Linked DNA regions of Cricetulus griseus. The protein of the gene in region 2 interacts with the protein of the main gene of each other region in a pairwise test. Links are inferred from orthologs where the notes say so. Each region holds a gene or a part of one and is shown on either strand. Other genes may lie near its edges.

The links. The genes of interacting proteins can lie anywhere in the genome.
Region 1: the proteins of Clk4 (region 2) and Ubl5 interact in a two-hybrid assay, tested with the Homo sapiens proteins (2 studies listed by BioGRID and IntAct). The link is inferred for Cricetulus griseus from reciprocal best matches to the Homo sapiens genes CLK4 and UBL5.

Annotation. Positions count from the first base shown.
Region 1 is NC_048597.1:133,522,988-133,526,566, reverse strand, and holds Ubl5 (ubiquitin-like protein 5), read right to left. Parts: upstream 2,324-3,579; 5' UTR 2,168-2,323; intron 1,913-2,167; 5' UTR 1,902-1,912; coding exon 1,846-1,901; intron 1,698-1,845; coding exon 1,614-1,697; intron 1,468-1,613; coding exon 1,430-1,467; intron 654-1,429; coding exon 610-653; 3' UTR 501-609; downstream 1-500. UniProt on the Homo sapiens protein: Ubiquitin-like protein that plays a role in cell proliferation and sister chromatid cohesion by associating with spliceosomal proteins. Participates thereby in pre-mRNA splicing by maintaining spliceosome integrity.
Region 2 is NC_048600.1:65,546,842-65,550,353, reverse strand, and holds part of Clk4 (dual specificity protein kinase CLK4), read right to left. Parts: intron 2,398-3,512; exon of another isoform or gene 2,392-2,397; coding exon of another isoform or gene 2,339-2,391; intron 1,003-2,338; coding exon 780-1,002; intron 1-779. UniProt on the Homo sapiens protein: Dual specificity kinase acting on both serine/threonine and tyrosine-containing substrates.

The DNA of each region.
Region 1 (3,579 bases), on a different chromosome or scaffold from region 2:
TAGTGAAGGACCTGCTTTTTAATACCTCACAATGGAGACTGTATTTTACCCTAGTCTTGAAACCATTGTAGAGATGGTTCAAGATACTGAAACCATTGTTGAGGCTTAGGAGGGTAAAGAAACTTCCCTAGAGCAATTCAGCTGTGGGGCAGGTGTCCTACTCACAGTCTTGTGAAGCCAGACCCTGTTCCAGCTAGCATATCTACCCTCCCTATGCAGGTTAATGGTTTATGAGGACGGCAATACTCACAGGATCTCTGCCCATCAGTGACCCAGAGGCAACAGCAGAGCTCCGGGTCCCATTCTACTAGGCTACTCTTCCCTCATGACTTCACACCTGATCCTTTTGCCTCCATCTCTCAAGTGCTGAGATGTCAGGTGTGCACTACCAGGCCCAGCCTCCAGTTAGTCTTCCTCAAGGAACAGGGTACGGAACTATACCCACCAGACACCAGCTCTCCCCTCCGGATACAACCTTCATGTAAGTATGACAGCAACAAAGCAGCATCAAAGTCTTTATTCATGTGAACTGTTAAAAATGTGCATCTATACCAGTGTCAAATGAGGGTGGGAGAGGAAGGCAGGGTAGTCAAGGAGAAGGATTCCCGTCTATTGGTAATAAAGCTCCAGGTTCATCCCATCATGGATTTCATCTGAAGACAAGTATTAAGGAATTTTCACTGAGGGCTGACTCTACCCTTTACCCACTCACAGTTGGATGGAACCTTGTGGCTCGACAACCAACCTTGGAATAAGGAAGCAATTTTAGAATGTGCACTTTGATCTAAGAATTCAAGCTATAAATAATGTAAGTGACCATCACTGAGAAGGCAAAACTGTTTGTCATCAAAGCCTGGTGTAGAGTCAGATTCTCAAGTGCCCCAGGCCTTCACACACAGCAATAATTAACACATTTTCTTAAATGTTCATACTCAGGCTGAAGACATAGAGCAACAGTTGAAGGGCACTCATGGCTGCTCTTGCACAGGAACTGGGTTCAATCCCCGCACTCACACGACGGTTCCAGGGAATCTGAAGCTTCCTTCTGGCCTAAGTCAGCAGCAGGCATGCATGTGGTGCATAAACGTAATTGCAGCAAAAGACCCAGAACCCCTCCCCTGCCCCCATAAAAAAAAAAATCATACTGGTTGTCCACTAGTCACATCTGAGGTATACTCCACCTCCACTTCCTGTCCAATATCCATGTGCTGTTCAGTCATAAATATTTTGAACCTGAACGTCAAAATCCTTCTGAACCAAGTTAAACTATTCCACCACCCTCCTCATCAACAAAATAACGCCATACTTTCCATTTTCTCAGTAGTCCCTATCTATAGGCCACATTTTAAGTTAAACAACCCTACAGGTTTCAATATAGAACCAGAACTCAAGTATATGGATTCTTTCACAAAAGTCAGGAAAAGGATACAATCTCCCAGAGACACGTGGTCCTTAAAAATCGTGTACCTACGGGACAGACATCTTTCAGAGAGAAGCTTATTTGGCGGGGTTGAGGTGGGCTTTTGTCTTGAAAGCAAGCTGAGCCCTCATCGGGGTTGCCTGAGGCGCTCCCCCAACCGCAACCTTCTAGCCTAATCCCCACCAGCACTTACCATTTTTTAAGGACGATCTTATTCCAGCGGGTGCCAGTTTGGGCTGCTATCAGTTTCTTCAAGTCCCCGATGGTGTCATCGGTGCTGGGCACGAAGGAGTTAAGGTAAATGGAGGGAGGAGGTAGAACGAGGAAGACGGTATTAGGCCTCCCCATCTACGCCATTTAACCACAATTTGCCTAACACCAGCAGCTGCCCCAGAGACCACGGCCGGTCACCCCCTGGTGGATACTTGCACTTGACGCGGACTTTCTTTCCGAGACGGTCGTTGCAAACAACCTCAATCATCGTGACTGCGGCTACACCGGGGGGGGGGGGAGATGATGGGAGATAGCGGAGTCAGAACTCTGGGGTCGCCCAAAGTCCCTTCCCGAGTGGAGTTCTCTGTCCACACCACCCGAACACACATCCCCGGCAGCCCCGTCCGGGGTCTCAGCGGCGGGGACCCAGACAGTCGCGTCTCCGCCCCTTACTCCCGCAGGCCCAGCCCCGGCCTCCGGCTTCGCCTCCCGCCGCTCCCCGTGATCCCGGGCCTCTCAGTTTAGCTCCCTCACCTCTAATTCCCCTCGAATTTATCGACGACACAACTCCCAGCTCGAACGCCGAGCCCTGGCCCGATTTAGGGCTAGTAGCAGGAAGCGGAAGTGATATAACGGAAACATCCGCTGTTAGGTGCTTCCGGATTCCGGGCTTTCACAGACGCGGTTCTGTGGCGCAGTTTGCCGAGCCGAGGCTGGGTTGGAAGACTGTGAGACTGAGCGGCGGTCCTAGTGGATTTACAGCCGACGGTCGGAGCAGTGTTGGCGATCCCTTTGTTGTGGAAGAGACCCAAAGCGTCTGCCATCCCCAAGCCAAACAAACCTCCTACCGCAGAATCCCGGCTGCCCAGCGGACCTGGAGTCGCGCGGGTGCCCTGGCTGCCGCGCTCTCGGTGTTCATTCAAAGCTCCGTCTCGGCCCCTGTGCTTGCCGTTACCCTCTGACTACAGCGACTGCTTCCGAGACCCTAGGGGTGCAGACTGCCGCCGATGAAAGCTAAGCTGTGTCTCGGGCGGCAGGCCGTGCTCCACACCACCCTATGTGTCTGTCGGGGTCCTGCCTGCGAAGATGTTGGAAACACCATCCTGGACAAAAAAAAAAAAAATCGATTTTTTTTCTTCTTTTTTTAATCTTCGAGGAACACCTTGTTACAGATTACAGAATCGCGAGAGCTGATGGGGAAGGAATCCCTCTCTAAATTCAATCAGTTCCCACCTCTCCTGAACGATAACTTCTTAGCAGACAGTACTCAGTAAGGTAAGATATACACATATATTTATTTTTTAAAAGTTGCTTAATTTTCTTGACATGGGGTGTCAATATATAGACCAAGCTGATCTCGAATTTGTGGTACTAATGTCCACCCTCGGAAGTTGCTGGTATTATATAGGCCAGTGTATTAGAAGCTATCCTGGTCTATATAGCGAGTTCCAGGCAAAACTTTGTAGAGAGACTGTCTCAAAAAGAAAAAGAAAAATCTACCAGGGCCTTGTGCTTAGCTAATACCACTTATACAAAATTTATCCTTACGAGTAGGCAGCAGAAAGCATTACTTTTTCTTTTTATTGCGGCTTGTGGCCACGCCTCCCTGGCTTGGCAGTCCTGGCCCCTCAGCCTCACCCCAGTTACACCTTTCGGTCTGGAATGAAGTCCTGATTCACGTCCTTAGTGTTCTGATCTGGTCCATCCTCTTCCCGGTGCGTCGTTCCCGTTCAGAAAATACTTCCCAGGCTCAAGCATACGTACCAGAAAAATGGGGTTTCTTTTTTTTCTTTTTTTTTTTTTTTTTTTTTTTTTTTTTTTTGTTGTTGTTGTTTTTCGAGGTAGGGTTTCTCTGCGTAGCTTTGGAGCCTATCCTGGCACTCGCTCTGTAGACCATGCTCTGCCTCGAACTCACAGAGATCCGCCTGCTCTGCCTCCCGAGTGCT
Region 2 (3,512 bases):
TAACCATATGCTGTGAGTTGAGTTGTCTAGTTTGTCAGAAAAATGTCAAGATTGGTTGAAATTGTTCTCTTTTAGCAACATTTAAAAATGGACATCATAATAAGAGGGGAAGTAAAGGCTAATTTCAATCTTCAATCTAATAAATGCTAGTTGTAACAGAAAAAACTTCGGGAGGGAAATGATATCTCAAAATTTACAAATTAAAGACGTCTAAAAAACTTCGGGAGGGAAATGGTATCTCAAAATTTACAAATTAAAGACGTCTGGCTTTCTCAATACATTTCCCATTCAGCACCCAGGTTCACAACTTCAGCAAAATTAACTGCAGACAATAATGTTGTGTTGTACTAGAAGCTAGACTACACACTAGTAAGCAATCGCTAAGCACCCCAACAATGTGACCTGCCTGAGTTGTTTCCAATAAACAGTAAAGCAGTTTCTTTAAAAAAAAAAAAAAAAAGTTTACATTCAAAGAAAACTATGGGTGCCTCATTTTTTTAAATATACTGTACAACCACAAAATAAGATGCTTTTTACTATTAAAACCAACAAATTCATGATCTGGTTTGCAGAATGAGTAAGTGTGGGCAAGTGAAGACTAGCTAATAATACACAGGTGTCAGTTATGAGTATGTGTTCACTTCCTTTAAGGATTCAAGTATATGAATATAAATTATAGCATATCCAAATAGTATTAAAAAAACTTTTTCAGAAACTTATCATTCTTTTAGAGCCTTACAAACAAGAATCCATTCAAAATAAAAACAAATCACTCATACCGAATGTGACTGATGACTTGCACAGTGTCTATTACGCTTCCTTTTAGGGCTGCTCCTCCTGCTTCGGACTGAGGATTTACTGCAGTGGATCCGGTAACTGCTTTCAATGTCTCTATGGTAATGTCTTGGAACATATCCTTCGCAGTAGTCATTTCTGTACTCATCAATGTATCTCCGGTCCCGATAATCTCTTCCATTCAAGCATCTTGCTTCTAAATAGTGACTGTAAACACATTCAAGGATCTCAAGTTATTCTCTTCATTCTGAAATAATGTGGTTCAAACAAAATTCTTAAGAATTCTTGGTTTAAATAGCTAACACAATAAAAGGAAAAATTCAAGTCGATGAGATTAGATTTATACTTATCTCAGATAACTTAATAACTTTAACCAAATAGTTCCATATTTTCCCATATACACTTGCTACAGCCAGGCATGCTGGTATATGCCTGTAATCCCAACACTTGGAAGGTGAGGGCAGGAGGATCAAGAATTCAAGGTAATCCTGAGTGAGGTACATTGCAAGTTTGAAGCCAGCCTGGGCCACATGAAACATCTCCAAAAAAAAAAAAAAAAAGAAAGAAAGAAAGAAAAAAAAAAAAACCCACAAAACAAAACAACACCCCACACAAAAAACCCCACACATTAGAAAACTGCTGTCAACAATTCATACCAAGGAACAGAGCTTTAATTACAAAATACTTAAAATCAAATGTTCCTTTACCTTGTGAAAAGTCAAGATCAAACCTGCAAACCTGTTCTGAAATGCACTGATCTTACAACATCTGAAACTAGCTTCCTTTCCCGCTCTCGCTCTCTCAGAGACACACATTTAGAGAAAGGCAAAAGAGGATTCCTTTCCCCTTTAATGTAAGTGCATTTTGATATCCCTGACAGACTTCTTCCATAATGTGTATCACAGATACAGGAGCCTTAAATGTATTTTCAGTCCTTTTATTTACTAACTCAATTAAGACCCCTAAAGGATATGCCATTGTTGCAGAGTACACTAGTGGCAAAAACTAAGATATTTCAAACATGTCACCTATTCTAACTCCTCTCTTTTCTATGTCTAAGCTTTCTATTACTCCTGTTTGACAATCAGACACCAGAACTTCTGAGGCCTGCCTAATGTGCCAAGTACACCTAAAATTGACCCTCCTAACCAAAAGGGTCCAGGACTGTGGACATCCTTCCATTCTATTTGCCTTTGCATTTCCTGTATTTTTTGTTGTAAGCCTAGCCTTTTAATGGCTGAGCCATCTCTCCAGTTTGACTTTGCATTTCTAATTTCCTGTGACTCTTGGAAAATACCCAAGAAATAGAAAAGAAAACAGCATTTTCTAGTGCCACAGTGCTTCTACAGATCCCTTTGAGAACCTGATGGGATAGGTTGTAGACCCTTTCCCCCAAGAAATGTGCAAATGCATAAACAAAACTTGGCAAGAACTTCATGGAGGTCATGGACCTCAGGAAGTCAATGGGTCCCAGTTAAGTGTCCTGATCTGATGGAAAGAAAAGGACAGATTCAATTGGCCCAGTTTCCCATCCCCCCTCTACCTGGGATGAGTGTCCTCTTCAACAGAGTGCGAAGCTTCAAGAGGGATGCACATGGAGCACTGAGGGAGAGAGGGGACACCTGCCCAGTCAGACAAATCAGCTAAATAATCCTGACAAGCAATGGAGTGACAGATGTTGCTGAGGCTGCCCCCCTCAACCCCTTTACACTCCCCCAGGATATGCTGTCATTTTCTTCCCAAGTGCTGGTTTAAGCAGAAATAAAGAGAAACATCCCTAGGACAACTGCTCAACAGACCTGGCATCTAATTCAGGCTAGGCTTTCTTATGGCCTAGCATCATTCTCAAGTTCTTCCTAACCTCTGGAAAAACAACTCAGGCTATTAGGATAAAACTCTGGACCTGAGTCAATTGGTCTAAAACAGAGATCTAGATGAAACACAACAAACTAGATGTCATACTTCTAAGGGCATCCTATTTAATTTTATAAATTATCACACCCACCTCCACACATTCAAAGTCTACCTTAAAAAACTACACTGATAATCTTTAACTGGAATACTATGTGAAACTGGCCCTGCTGACACTCCAAAACAATCTACTAATGATTAAAAAAAAAAATGGGGGTGGTGATGTACTATCATGAACAGAGCTAACATGAGAAGGACCTTTCCCGTTTATGACAACCAAAGACCAAAGGTTAAAGTCTACAGAATTATACAAGCTGTGGACAGGGCAGACAGAATAACAGGTCTGATTTTTTAAAAAATATCCACTGAATGCTCAGTGAATATTTCATTGTAGCTTTTCAAAACAGCCCAAACTGTTGAGTGCACTGACATTTGTTTTTATTTCCACAAAGGTCCTGTGGGAGATAAAATAAAGCATATAAGGCAAAGTCTCTCCCCAATAAATGAACAATTTAAGATTACTCACACACAAAAATAGAAAAATCAAAATAGACAAATGCAAAAAAAAAAAAAAAACTGTTGAAAAGGTGCTAATGATCGCTTAGACTCAGGGAAAGCAAAGATTTCAATCTCATTAAATGATTAGGGAAGAATTCATGACAAAGACAAAAGCAGATAAGCATCTTAAAGGAAAGCCAGGATTTGGACAAAATGGACAGTAGGAAAAATTCCAGGAAAACAGCATAGTGCCATCTTACACAGACAGCACCACCAGTCAGAGGCTTAGAATGCATGTATCTACACTT